Rattus norvegicus: one gene and its partner. The protein of the gene in region 1 interacts with the protein of each later gene in a pairwise test. Links are inferred from orthologs where the notes say so. Each region holds a gene or a part of one and is shown in the gene's direction. Other genes may lie near its edges.

Region 1 (7,389 bases):
CCTGGATCCAATAAAGCCAGATGCTTCACCTCTAGCTCCAGTGCTCATAGGCCACTTATGCTGTCTGAACTCTTTAGGCTTGGCATCTCTTAGCTTTAGAAGCTAGAAGAGATCTGTGCCCTGGGGTCTCTCTGTTCCAACCCCATCTTCCAGTAACACGTATCCATTATTTATCTGGGCTAGGGGAAAAGACAGTGAGCAAAGACAGTATGGGGGGAGAGTAGCACAGAATGGTGTCCCCCTGACTGGCACCCATCTTGGCTACCATCCAGGTCCAAAGTGCTTGAGGCCTTCTGAGGCTTTTAAAATCTGACCTAGAGGGACCTCCTACTTTGCTTTGACACACAGAGGTGGAGGTCAGCAAGTAAGGTGGATTGTGGGATGAGTGGGGACAGGGAAAGTGCCTTGGGTGCCCCTCTGGTTTGAGAAACTGAAACGTACTCTGGTATGTAGCAACCTTCCTCCCCAACACAAGTTCAATCTGTTCTGTGTTCCTACTGGGAGATTTTAGACTAAAACCCCTCTTCAAGCCAGCTGCTGTTTCTCTGTAATCCAAGTGCCTCCAACTGGCACCATGGTGGGGATAGAAGCCAGTTTATCAGGTGGAGTAGAAACCTTATTAGCCCAAGGACATAGTTCAGAGCTATTCTGTCCAGTACTTGATTCTGAATCTAATACAAAGGGACGCAACTAGAAATATAATAAAGTTCTATGTTTGGCAAGAAGACCCTGAGTATCTGTGGCTTTCCTAACTGTAAGGTGGTGGCTTTGGCCAAGTGTCACTTCCTCTGATCTCAGGCTGGAAAACATTCTGTGGACCAAGCAGATTTTCTTGGACCAGTTCTTGGTGATGGCTGAGACAGGCTACTAAAATGACAAAAGTTGGCTGGGGAAAGGAGCTCACACCTGCAGTACTGGATCCAGAGAGGGTTCTTGACCACTGCTGGACTACTTCAACGTCATGAGGCCTCTGTAAAAGCTCCCTAGCTCTAACTTGCCCATGAAGCTCTGTCTTTATCATTTTTACCCCAGACAGGAAAGGGGCTGGATCATGGGTTTAGAATCTCTTGGAAACTAGTTTCTCTTACAGAGGAGGCCCAGAGAGGCTGACATAATTAGATGCACTTTTTAAAAAAATTTTTTTTCTTCCACACCCTGAGTGCTACATTTGATTTTTGGGGTAAGGCCTCTTTATTATTTTGCTCTGGCTGTCTTGGAACCCTGGCCTCAAACCCAGAGATCCACATGCCTCTGTTTCCTGAGATAAAAGATGTCTATGCCTGACTACTTTTAACTAATTTTAAGCTGGATGGCTAGCTACCCTCCTAACCAGTGACTTTTAAGACATGAGTCTCCAGAGCCTGTTCCTAGGCTTGCTGTGGTTACTCCACCTTCCTGGGAAGACAAGTCTTCTGTGAGGGAACAGGGATGAGCAGCTAGTTCCACTTTGTCCCTCCCCTCCCCGGGGCTTACAAATTCAGCCTTGCTTCCCTTCCAAGCCAGGACTTAATAACTTTATTTGCATTTGACTCCTTCTACCATGTGGAAGAAGAGGTGGGTGCTGGCAGCGGTTTGGGCATCATGCGCCCTCTGGTGGGCCTCAGGAGCAATGAACACAGTTGGCTACACATCAGTCAATAAAGTCTAGCACAAGGTTGCAATGATCCTTACTCAGGTCTGTACTCCAGACCCAACTTCAGGGAACTGGGCTTGTTGGGGCGAAGCCCTGAACCTCTGGCTCTCATACTCGCCCGTGTTGGACACCCGCATGTTCTGACGAGCCTTCATCTGCTTCAAGCGGTCCTTGTCCACTTCCTGCTTGGTGAGGACGAAGAAGAGGATACCACAGGGGAAGCCGATGGCCCTAGGGATGGGGAGATGGGCACTGGGTTTGGGCAGGGACTGGGACTGAGCCAGAGGAGCTAGAATTAGTCCAGCTTTGCCACTTGTACAAATGCCGCGGTGAGGCATATTACTTCTACCTGTCCTTTGTGCTGAGTGCTGGAGGGAACCCACAAATCAGAGCCTCCTGCTGCTGCCTGCTTTGGACAACCATAATAGTTCTCTATTATATCCTGGCCAACTCCAAACTCCTAAGGCAGGGCACTAAAAGCCCAGTGTGGTCCTACCTACCTTTTCATCTGTCCTCTTATGGCTGATATTGATGAGCCTCTTGTGCTGAATGCTTCTGTGTGATAGCCTAAGCAGCCCAGGCTTGCTCTGAGTTAGCAAAGGACCTCTCTGCATATACTGTCTTGTGTCCCTTGCCAGACCTCTCTATTTTTCTTTACGGTGCTGCAAATCGAACTTAGGGCTTCAAAGATGTTAAGCATGTGCACAACCACTAAGGTACGTCAACCAACTCTCAATCAGAGTAACTACTACTAAAAGAGGGCCTTGGCAAGTGCCAAAGAACAGGAAGCCACAAGAGCTGGTGACAATTGCAGCTGGGAGCCTCAGTTCCCTGCTTGGCAAGATGAAAGTGCAATGTTTACCTCAGAAAGCTTAAAACATTATATGGCACAGTACTGTCATACCTCAGACATTTGCTGGAAAAAATGTTAATTTCCCTTCCTTTTACTTTAGTGATTGATAATCAGTAATATGTATTAAAACCAGAATCAGAACCACAGAACTCACAGAAACGATTCTAGCTTCTATACAACACAATCTGACACTATTTTAATTACTGGGATTGGAATGTTACCCCTGCTCCCAAAGGGAAGGATGAATCCAACGACTCCAAATCAGATCAGCTCAATTTGCTCCAAAGAAAAGCCACTGTCCCCCAATTTTACATATTATTCCACCCTCACCTCACCCCATTCTTCTGAGATTCCATCCCTTGAATCCAGCAATTTCCTTCCCTTGGATTCAGCTCTGCCCTTGCAACTTGGAGAAGTTTCTAGGTTCCAACACCTTTCAGTACACTCCCCACTGGTAGGCAAAGGGGCAGTTAAAACTCACCAGGCTAGTCCCACAGCTTTCATGGGGTTCTTGCCCCTCTTTCTGGGAATGTATTCTAGCTCAGGGGAGAGGGGCTCAGGCTCCTCCTTGCATTCTGGTGAGCTGTGGCTCTGCAGTGCTCTGGTCCTGTTCTGGGAAGCCTTGTTAGCTGTCGCTCCAGAGAGGATCCCTGTGAATAAAAGTACCGCAGGTCAGTATGGGGGATGAGGGAGGGTTAGAGGGGCTGAGATTTGAGGAAGGGGAGTGACTGCAGTTTGGAGTAATAAGTGCTGTGAAGAATCTAAAGAGAAATGGGAAAATCGCCATCGGGTGACACCTTTGGAAGCTACTTCCACGTCACTGCGGACTCCTCACCCTGGTGCCAAGGCAGTGAGCTTCGCTGCTGTTCTACTCAGAAGACAGGTTGGGAAGGACTGCAGAGGAACTCACCGGAGACATACGAATGAAGGAAATTCGGGGAACTGTTTTAAAACTGCAGGACCTTAGCTATCCTAAAGGATAACTAACTCCATCCCGTTGAAGAGGAAGCTGAAGCCCGGAGAGACGAGCTGCTTCGCACAAGGTCAAACCGCTAATTACTCAGTGCTAGAACTCAAACCTCCAGAAGCCTAGGGCTCTTTCCTCTGCACTGCGGTGAGTGTGAAACCCCTGGGACGCGGGAGTCGAAAGATGTCTCTGGTACTCTCTCTAGCAATAAGACCCTAGACATGCCGCGCGACCTAAACGCAGGGGTTGGACTGGATGACCTCTAGAGCATCTTTTCACCCCCAGACTCTCTTAAGATCATAAAGAGAGATGTGGGCAGCAATTGGCAGCCTGACTTCCTGCTGTCGCGCTGGGTAGGATGTAAGGGAAACGGAATCTTTTAAAACCCTGCCCTCCCCAGGGTCCCTCTCCTTACCCCGGAGGACGCGGGCATTTCTCGCCCCCCGGCCCTTCAGCGCCGTAGCAGCTACCACCGCCGCCATGTTCGGGTCCCACCCCCCTTCACTGCGCTCCCCGTCGGGAATTGTAGTTTGCGTAAGGGGCCTCCCCCGCGCCTTCCGTCCTGCCTACAGAGTCGAAACTACATTTCCCAGAAGTCCGCATAGCGGGCCCGGGAGAACTACTCCTCCCAGGAGACGCCGGAGGCGCGCACGCTCGCTTGTTTCCCTCCAGCCGGGGGCGGAGTCGTGTAGGGTGGAGCTTGGACTCTCCCGCCACGCCCCGGCCTGGTCATCCTAGTTCTGCCTTATGATTGGCGTCTCTGTTAGTCCACCTCTGTTGCTATTGGCCCGGATGCCGTCGCTCTTTCGGCTGGGAGTCACCTACGCCTACTTCCTCCCGGGAGGAGGGGCTCGAGTTCCGCGTCGTCGCGCAGAGCTGACTCTGGGAGGCGTTTGGGCCCAGAGAAGTGGATCGGTAGGTTTCGCCGCATGGAGTCCGAATCGGAGAGCGGAGCGGCCGCTGACACCCCGCCTCTGGAGACTCTGAGCTTTCACGGAGATGAAGAGATCATTGAGGTGGTAGAGCTGGATCCAGGCCCGCCGGACCCGGGTGAGAACTGACGCTCCTGAGGCCACGGGACAGGAGGCACTCACCCCTGGCCTCTGACCCCTGCTTCTCCCCAGTTCCCCCTCCCCCCATCCCTACCGGTCGTTCCTACCGACATTTCTCTCCCAGACCTCCTTCCCTACCCCCCACATTTAGTTTCTAGGCCTGGCTGGGTGGGGGTTCCCTGACGCCTCCCCTGGCCCTTCCCCTCACACACCCCCTTCCCATCATGCCCTCTGTCCTCTCTTCCTACACGGTCGCTGGCCAACACCGGGTCTTCAGACCTAGCCTCTCTCTCCCTCCCCGCCCCCCAAGTGCTCTCTTCCTGCTCGGTACGTGTGGGACAACACCTTAACCCTTGGCCACATGACCCACCCTAGCGTCACCTTTTTCATTCTTCAACCCTTACCCCATTCCTTCTCTATCTTTTCGAGCTCCATCTTTTAACGCTTCTCCCAAAGCAGATGATCTGGCCCAGGAGATGGAAGACGTGGACTTTGAGGAAGAGGAGGAAGAAGAAGAGGGCAATGACGAGGGCTGGGTCCTGGAACCCCAAGAAGGGGTGGTCGGTAGCATGGAAGGCCCCGATGACAGTGAGGTCACCTTTGCATTGCACTCAGGTAGGCCTTTGAAGGGATCACCTCAGATCAGTGCAGATGGGCCTTTGAGTATGGCCCATGGCCCTAGGGAGGTTATTATGAGAGACAAAAGTGAAAGCCACCTACTTTGGCCTGCAGGATATTCAAAGGAAGGGCCAAAAAGGCACTGGAGTTAAGTGAGACCCCTGAGTTCAAATCCTACCTCTGCTGTTTAGCAGTCTGTTACCTTAGTTAGCTTTCTGAATCTTGGTGTTCTTTAAAAAAAAAAAAAAAAGTTATCTTGGATGAAAGTGAATGGGAGTAACCCAAGTGGAAATTAAAGGCAGTTTACACTCGAAAAGAAGCATTACCAATAACCTCAGATGCTAGCCTCGTGAATTGTAGCCTCGTGAATTGCTCATAACTTAATTCCTACTCAGCCTGGTATGGCCTGTGCTGTCAGCTGTGACCATAGAGCCACCTCTTGGCTTGCACCTCAGAGTGCAGACTGAGGGGAACAGAACAGCAGTGGGATATGCTCTGGAGGAGGACTTGGAGCTTTGTGGGCTTGGGAAAGATTTCTCTTAACAGTCTGATGCTCCAGACAAGAACTGGATGCAGCCTTCCCAGGAGAGAATAACTGTGGCTTTGGGGAAAGGGAATGTGCTTCCTGAAGGTTCTGAAAGGCCGAACTCTAGGTGAGAGCCCTTTCTCATGGACTGTGTCTTGGGACAGCATCTGTGTTTTGTGTGAGCCTGGACCCCAAAACCAACACCTTGGCAGTGACGGGGGGTGAAGACGACAAAGCCTTTGTGTGGAGGCTCAGCGACGGGGAGCTCCTCTTTGAGTGTGCAGGTGAGAGGCTGGGGTTGTTGTGTTCCTTTGGACATCTTGGCGGGTGACTCATGTGAACACCCAGCAGCTGTTTTCTAGCCTCTGTCTTGTACTGGGTCCAGGGACCCGCAGTAGAAGTTTGGTAGGCATTCGGACAGGAAACGCTAATGGGCCAAGGGAGGCTGGCTAAGATGAGCACGGTGCTGGTGCAGGAGTAGGCAGCGGCCCAGAGAAAACAGGCTCTGGTTGCTTCATAGGGAGCCGATAGTATCTGGTCTTGGAAACCTGGAGTGTCTGGTCCCCGGAGCTGCAGCAAGTTTGATCCCTTGTTTGCTGAGGTCCTCCTACCTTTTTTTCCTGCTTAATTACTTTTAAAAGGTGACTAGCGCATGGGTCACATGTCCCCATCATTTAGATATTTTTTTAATGTTCTTCTACCACTTTTTCTTTTTTAAGGTTCTATAGTTGGGTTGGTCTTGGATGTAGCCAAGGCTAGCCTTGAATTTGTTACATCTCTTAGGCAAATTTGAGTCCAAAACTGCCTACTTCTCTTTGCAGGCCACAAAGACTCTGTGACATGTGCTGGTTTCAGTCATGATTCCACCCTAGTGGCCACAGGGGACATGAGTGGTCTTTTGAAAGTATGGCAGGTAGAGACCAAGGAAGAAGTCTGGTCCTTTGAAGCAGGAGACCTGGAGGTGAGATCCTTGGAGTGGGTCTCAACTCTGTGGGACCTTAAGTGAGAATGAGGGCTTCTGGGAGGGATGGTGGCAGGTATAGCCCTCTGTATACTGGAGAAGTTTGCCTTGAGCCACAGCACCCCTGGTCTAACAATGTATCTGTTTATCTTTAAGTTCTTGCTGACCTTAGAAGGTCACACCTTGGATAAGGTTCATGGACTCTTAGGTAGGCTGGGTAGCAGGCCTTACTTGCTGATCCTCCCTCTCTGACCAGTGGATGGAGTGGCACCCTCGGGCTCCTGTTCTGTTGGCCGGCACAGCTGACGGCAATACTTGGATGTGGAAGGTACCCAATGGTGACTGTAAGACCTTCCAGGGCCCCAACTGCCCTGCAACCTGTGGCCGTGTCCTCCCTGATGGTGAGAGCAGTCGCCTCTTCCTGGGGGGGGGGGGGTGGCTCCAGTGACTGGGGGTACTTTAGTCATCCCAGTCTCCTGCCCTACACTAGGTCTTGGCTGTGACTCCAGGGGGAGTTTGGGGACCCCCTAGTCTATCCTTCCTGTTAATTCTTTTCTTGGTGTGTCTGAGTGTCCTTTGTCCTCTGGTTATCCATGCCTTGGTCCTTAGGAAAGAGAGCTGTGGTAGGGTATGAAGATGGTACCATCAGGATTTGGGACCTCAAGCAAGGAAACCCCATCCATGTACTGAAAGGTATGAGAGGTGGTGGTGGGGGTGTTTTCCTTGGCTTGGAGGGAGGAGCCTGAGAGCCAGGTACAGAACTCGGAACCTTGGTAAAC
Region 2 (7,178 bases), on another chromosome or scaffold:
GGTTGGTGAGAGAGGGCAAAGACAGGGTCGAGCAAGATCTAAGCACATCGTGTACAGATACGAACACATCGACAAAGCCCTCTGCTTTGTACAAATGATCTGAGTTAAGTTAGCCTTCCTTTAAAATTTTACTTTCTATTTTGTCCTTCTGGTTGTGAGCCTAGCCTTTGATGGCTTGAGTAGAGCCATCTTTCCAGTCCTAACTTTATTTTTTTTTAATATCTTTTAATTCTTTGGGAATTAAACCTATAGGGTTGGGGATTTTAGCTCAGCGGTATAGCGCTTGCCTAGCAAGCCCAAGGCCCTGGGTTCGGTCCCCAGCTCCGAAAAAAAGAAAAAAGAAAAAAAAAAACTATAAACATCCAATGCATTTTAAACATATTCATTCCCATTCCTCCTAGATCTACTGGCCACCCTCTCCCTTCCAATCTCGGGTCGTTTTTTCTTTTACTGCGACCCACTGATTCCAGTTGCCGCTGCCCAGGTTTGCACGGATGTGGAACTAGCCACTGGAGTGCGGTTGGTCGACCTATCCACAGCCACATTCTGTTGACTCATCCAGGAAAGCCAGCTCTTCTCTCTCCCAGCAACCATCAACTATCAGCAGCCAAGGATGGGGAGGGCTTGTGAGTTGCTGCAGGATTCAAGCTCTTGAAAGGGTGACTGTGTTGATCCTGTGGAGGCAGCCCCAGGGGCTATGAAGTTAAGAGTGCCATGGTCCTGTCTTGCCCAGGAGACATGGACATGACCCCAGTCCTCTTCCTCCTGCTCTTGCTCTTACAGTCTCTCTGCCCAGTCTTCCAAGATGGTCTTGAGCTTTGGGGAGAAGGGGTGGGCCATAGATGTCTCCTCTTGCCCACTGCACCAAAAAACTACTCTAATGAGGTCTGGGGTTGCACTAATCGAATGCACGATTATACAAATTTTTTCTTTTTTTTTTATTAACTTGAGTATTTCTTATATACATTTTGAGTGTTATTCCCTTTCCCGGTTTCCGGGCAAACATCCCCCTCCCCCCTCCCCTTCCTTATGGGTGTTCCCCTCCCAACCCTCCCCCCATTGCCGTCCTCCCCCCATAGATTAGTTCACTGGGGGTTCAGTCTTAGCAGGACCCAGGGCTTCCCCTTCCACTGGTGCTCTTACTAGGATATTCATTGCTACCTATGGGGTCAGAGTCCAGGGTCAGTCCATGTATAGTCTTTAGGTAGTGGCTTAGTCCCTGGAAGCTCTGGTTGCTTGGCATTGTTGTACTTTTGGGGTCTCGAGCCCCTTCAAGCTCTTCCAGTTCTTTCTCTGATTCCTTCAATAGGGGACCTATTCTCAGTTCAGTGGTTTGCTGCTGGCATTCGCCTCTATATTTGCTGTATTCTGGCTGTGTCTCTCAGGAGCGATCTACATCCGGCTCCTGTCGGTCTGCACTTCTTTGCTTCATCCATCTTGTCTAATTGGGTGGCTGTATATGTATGGGCCACATGTGGGGCAGGCTCTGAATGGGTGTTCCTTCAGTCTCTGTTTTAATCTTTGCCTCTCCCTTCCCTGCCAAGGGTATTCTTTTTCCTCATTTAAAGAAGGAGTGAAGCATTCACATTTTGATCATCCGTCTTGAGTTTCGTTTGTTCTAGGGATCTAGGGTAATTCAAGCATTTGGGCTAATAGCCACTTATCAATGAGTGCATACCATGTATGTCTTTCTGTGATTGGGTTAGCTCACTCAGGATGATATTTTCCAGTTCCAACCATTTGCCTACGAATTTCATAAACTCGTTGTTTTTGATAGCTGAGTAATATTCCATTGTGTAGATGTACCACATTTTCTGTATCCATTCCTCTGTTGAAGGGCATCTGGGTTCTTTCCATTTTCTGGCTATTATAAATAAGGCTGCGATGAACATAGTGGAGCACGTGTCTCTTTTATATGTTGAGGCATCTTTTGGGTATATGCCCAAGAGAGGTATAGCTGGATCCTCAGGCAGTTCAATGTCCAATTTTCTGAGGAACCTCCAGACTGATTTCCAGAATGGTTTTACCAGTCTGCAATCCCACCAACAATGGAGGAGTGTTCCTCTTTCTCCACATCCTCGCCAGCATCTGCTGTCACCTGAGTTTTTGATCTTAGCCCGATTATACAAATTTTAAGGGCAGTTTGATACTGTCAGTTTAGCAAAACAGTAGTAGATTTGATTCTGGGGTCTATGAGCTCCTCTAGCTTTTCCTTTTTAAATTTATTTAAAAAAAAACCTATTTTGTGTGTGAGTGAGTGTGTGTGTGTGTGTGTGTGTGTGTGTGTGTGTGTAGGTGTAGGGACTGGGGTGGGTGTGGGTGGGTGAGTATGCATGCCCGTGCATGTTAGAGGACAACTTCAGGGAGTTTCTTGTTGTTTGGGGTATCTCGTTTCTGCCTACCCTAGCTAGCCAGAGAGCTTCGGTTAATTTTTCTGTCTCCATTACCATCTCACTGTAGCACTGTAGGAGTACTCTGTCTCTTCCCCTCCCCCTCTTCCTCTCCCTTCCTTTCTTCTCTGCGTAGCTTTGGCTGTCTTGGAACTTGCTCTGTAGACCAGGCTGGTCTGGAACTCAGAGATCCACCTGCCTCTGCCTCCTGAGTGCTGGGATTAAAGGTGTGCACTTTAATCAGCTTTCTAAGAAGGTCCAGGGATCAAATTCAGGTCATCGGGTTTACCGAGCAAGCACCTTTTTACTTCCGAGGCAACTCTCCCATCCCCCTTTTAAAAACTTTTCATAGGGAAATGAGTATATGAATAAAATATGCAAAGGAATACTTAATATGGGTGTGGTGGCAAAATGCTGTAATACCAGTATTTAGGATGTCAGAGGCAAGAGGATCAGAAGTTCATTCACAACTATACAGAAAATACGAACTTGATACTGGAAAAAAGAAGGAAAATGAGACAGCCTGGGCTACAGGAGATCATGTCTCGAAAAACAAAACAAAAAATAAAAAAACACAAATTAAATAAATATTGAAAAAGCAATGCAGAAAAAGCAAACCTGATTTTTTTTTTCAAGTTTAAAGAATACTGTATTATTTCACCCGGTTCTCAGAACTCCGAGACTGGAGAGGCTGCAGTTCACCCTAGGCAGATTTGGGTGTGCACCTTGTGACTTTAAGTCTTTGAAGTTTGACGTTCACTAGGCGTCAGGTCAGAAACCAGACGTTCCATTCAGTTTTTTACTAACCTCCTAAACATTGCCCTCTCCCGGCGCAGACCACGCGCTCCTCCTACGGTAGCCCCACCCCTTCTGACTGGCACGCCTACTCCAGGAGGAGCAGGATCAGCCAATCCGAGGAGGCCTTAGGCGGGCCCTACGGCCCAGCGAACCAATAGACAGGCAGCCGAAGCCGGGCATGTCCGGGCAAGCAACTACTGCTGCCGTCAAGGCTTCCACGTGAAAGCCGCAAAGTGCGGCCCGGTCTTCAGGTGAGCTAGGGGACCGCCACAGGGAGCCCCGGGCTGCGGGTTCCTGTCGCCAGCCTCACGTGGCTCTCGGGACCGGGTGGTGTGCAGCCAGGCCGGAACGCGGCCTCACGCGGTCTTTCCCAACTTGGAGCCGGTGGGCATCAGGGGACCGCGTGGACATTGAGCGTCCACTGCACGCCTCAGCTGTGAGGATTGCGGCCTGCCCTCATACTTAAAAAACAAACAAACAAACAAAAAACTGGTCAGGTAAGCTTTTGGGTAGCATTGGGGACCTTATTGCGCCAGCCTTTCTCAAACTGGGGTCTTCACAATCGTGACTTGAGGGTGGGGTCTCGGGTCCTGTCCCAAAACTTTGCCTTCTACCTAGGGCGGTTGATGGTTAAGGGACAGTGACTTTCTGATGTCATCAGGTTATTTCGTGCCAGAACAGTGTCTAGACGGGCCCACTGACGGAGGTCGGGTCTACCAGCATGGCAGGTGGGACCCTTATGCCAGTGACGATTCTGGCCTTGCAGTTTTTTGGGAACCTTCTCATCTGGAGTCCTCTTGGGTCAGGGACCTTCACATGAAGGCCAAGTGCCTTCCATACTGGCCAGAGAGAGTTATGATGTGGAATATCTGTACGTGGCTTTGCTAAAAGAGCTGTGTCCTCTGAATACTTCTCTCCAGCTAAACTGAGTGAGTGTCATTCAGGGCTTTGGGCTGTGGAAGTGCGTTCCCGTGATAATTGTTAGTTCTGGCACGTCCACAGGTTCAGGGACTATAGGAAATGACTGCCTTTATCTTTTCAAACAAATGCAAAAATACGGAGACCTCTACTCCGGGGAACCTAATTTTAGCTTCTTTCAAACCTTGCCAGCAGGGGGTAGGAGAGTCCATCCTCCTGCCCCCAACCGGAAGTCCGTGATCAGCAGGGCTAGCACAGGTCTTCTAGGCCAGGTTTTCTCCCTTTGCTGGACTAAGGCAAATTGAGTTTCTGAATTTTTGTCAGTTCTGAGATGTGGTTTGTGGAAATGAGGAAGTTGCTGACAACCTCTTAAAAGACAGGGTACTATTCAGAGAGCAGATGAGCAAGCCGAGAGCAGTTGTGTCAGCATGGGTCACTGAGCCTCCCCCTGGCTAAGTGGACCATTACTCCTAGTGCACATGCTGGCATCAGCAAACACAGACTGTTCTTTCCTCCCCGCTGCTACTGCTACTCCACCCTGTGTCTTAGGGTTCTACTGCTGTGAGCAGACACCACGACCAAGGCAGCTCTTATCAGGACAACATTTAATTAATTGGGGCTGGCTTACAGGTTCAGAGGTTTAGTCCATTATCATCAACATGGGAACATGGCAGCATCCAGGCAGGTGTGCGACTGGAGTTGCTGAGAACTCTACACCTTCATCTGAAGGCAGACAGAAGGCTGTCTTCCAGGCAGCTAGGATGAAAGTCTTAAGGCCCACGCCCACAGTGACACACTTCCTCCAATGAGGCCACACCTCCTGGTAGTGCCACTTCCTGGGCCAAGCATATGCAAATGTCACATCTTGGGCTCCTAGTCTGACCTCATCCTCTGATGAGGTAACCACGATGTCCCCTGGAGTCCTCCAGTGACTCAGTACACCCCCTGCTCCCTAGGTGTTTACAGGCTGCACCAAGTTCTTTGCCTACTCTCCCTGGCTCTTAGGTCTGTGCTTGTCAGGTTTCTCTTTTCTGAATACTCTTCCCACCCTGGGCTTCCCGGCTCTCCTTAACTCAAGGTCTCTTCCCGGTGACTGCCCAGGTTCTCAAGTTCCCTTCCTGTTGATCCGTGGTTTGGAGGACTTCGAGCTCTGTAGTACCCTCCAGGCCTGCCACTGGGAGGCCCAGCTTGGGCTTCTGAAGCCATGAGAGAGGGACAGCAAACACAGTGGGGGCTCTGCAGCTTGCTGACTTGAGGGGACTCTGAGGAAAGCTGCCTGTTGTCTGAGGAGGGCAAAATCCAATGTACTGCAGTATGCAGGATGACCTTCTTTATTCTCCTCATAGACAGTTAATAGCCTGGATCAGTGCTGCTTGGTCCACATTTTACTGGCCCACCTTGGTGCCTTGGGCCTCCCTCACTTCACCAGCAGACACTAGGCTGAAGACACCAGTATGGGTAAGGGTGGCTTGTGGAAGGACCGCTCAAGTCAATGGCAGAAGGTGAGGTGGTAACCCACCAGACAGTTATAACTGGTGACTTCAAGTTGCTGCTGGCCCCTCTGCCCCAGCATGAGACTAGTCAGGCCTTTGTCCCTGGTGTTTCCATTGCCCACTCCCTCTTCCCTGTAGGGTTACTGCTCCCCATTTACTCGGAAGTGACTTCTGGGATCATCTGCAGCTCTTTGCCTTCTTTTCCTCCTTGTATGGCTAGCCGGCTCTCAGCGCACTGTCTGCCGCATTTCTGTGTCTGGTCCAACCAAGCTTCCCGGCCCGGGATCCATCTTTGTAACTGTCCAGCACCTGGCACAGTTGGGACCCCAGGGAACCTCTTTGTAACGTTGGGGAGATCCAGGGGTTTCAGAACAGCATTCCGTGATACAGAACTGTGTCTGAAGGCGTTGGAGGGGTGTGGTTTGGGAACAGCAGTGAGTCCACGTGGAGGTGCTCTGGCCCAAGGGTAGCTGGCGTCTGGCGTAGGAAAGAGTAAGCTTTGCTGAGGAAAAGGCAGAAGGGTGTGTGTGTGTGTGTGTTTGTAAGGGAGGGAGAAGTAGACAGACTTGGGCACAAGAGTTTATAAAGACCCAGGTTAAACTTTGTTCGGCAGATTTGGGGGTTTTCGGTGTGGGGTGTTCAGCTGGACTCTTGTTTCTGTAATCTTTGCTGCCCTGTAGCCATACTTCTCACACCACTGAGTGAGCTTGAGGTTCAGAGCATGGACTCTGGGTTCCTGTCTACACCGTTTCTTTTCTGTACAGCGAGGGTGATGATACTTTGTGGGGTCGGTGGGGGTGGGATATTCCATGCAGCTCTTGTTGAGGGGATTCTCAGGAGGCATGGATGGCATGTGCAGTGTTTGAGTGCAGTTCTTGGTGAAGGCGTCTGAGTTTTCAGGCAGGTGCTTGAAGATGAGAGGCAGGGCGTCCTGGCATCCTCCTCCCAGCCCCTCTTCCTTTGTGCTCTCTCTTCAGCACACTGCCTCGTGGGCAGACAGCCTCCAGAGCTTTCTTACCGCTGCCTGTGAGCTGGCTGGCATGGTGCCCAGGGAAGTCCCTGAGTCTTCCCTCACTAGCCTGAAGACCAAGGATGTGGCTCGGAGGAGACACAAAAGGAGAAGCCGGCAGCACCAGCGGTTCATGGCCCGCAAGGCCTTGCTTCAGGAGCAGGAGTCGTTGAGCATGGTACCAGGGCCAGGACTCTGCCCTCTGCCCTCCCCAACACAGACGCCAGCAGGCACAGAGGCTTCAGGCAACAGGAAACAACGTACCAAGGCCAGGTCTGGCAGCAAAGGCCTGTGTAGCAAAAGGCCTGTCCCCAGAGAAGCCCCAAGCTCTGGGCCCAGCAAGTATGTGGCCATTGACTGTGAGATGGTGGGTACCGGCCCCCAAGGGCGAGTGAGTGAGCTAGCCCGCTGCTCCGTGGTGAGTTACAGTGGTGATGTTCTCTATGACAAGTACATCCGGCCTGAAATGCCCATTGTGGACTATCGAACCCGCTGGAGCGGCATTACCCGTCAGCACATGCACAAGGCTATCCCCTTTCAGGTGGCCCAGAAGGAGGTAAGGACCCTGGG

What was found.
Region 2: the proteins of Aamp (region 1) and Aen interact in binary tests that used the Homo sapiens proteins (3 or more experiments, as listed by UniProt). The link is inferred for Rattus norvegicus from reciprocal best matches to the Homo sapiens genes AAMP and AEN.

The regions. Positions count from the first base shown.
Region 1 is NC_086027.1:83,314,310-83,321,698, reverse strand, and holds the start of Aamp (angio-associated migratory cell protein), read left to right. Parts: upstream 1-3,373; 5' UTR 3,374-3,868; coding exon of another isoform or gene 3,869-3,935; 5' UTR 3,936-4,382; coding exon 4,383-4,503; intron 4,504-4,696; exon of another isoform or gene 4,697-4,729; coding exon of another isoform or gene 4,730-4,832; intron 4,833-4,961; coding exon of another isoform or gene 4,962-4,964; coding exon 4,965-5,120; intron 5,121-5,813; coding exon 5,814-5,933; intron 5,934-6,470; coding exon 6,471-6,610; intron 6,611-6,866; coding exon 6,867-7,011; intron 7,012-7,219; coding exon 7,220-7,303; intron 7,304-7,389. Other genes in the region: probable hydrolase PNKD, read right to left, coding at 2,968-3,136, 3,869-3,935. UniProt on the Homo sapiens protein: Plays a role in angiogenesis and cell migration. In smooth muscle cell migration, may act through the RhoA pathway.
Region 2 is NC_086019.1:142,221,141-142,228,318, forward strand, and holds the start of Aen (apoptosis-enhancing nuclease), read left to right. Parts: upstream 1-3,392; 5' UTR 3,393-3,685; intron 3,686-6,576; 5' UTR 6,577-6,639; coding exon 6,640-7,164; intron 7,165-7,178. UniProt on the Homo sapiens protein: Exonuclease with activity against single- and double-stranded DNA and RNA. Mediates p53-induced apoptosis.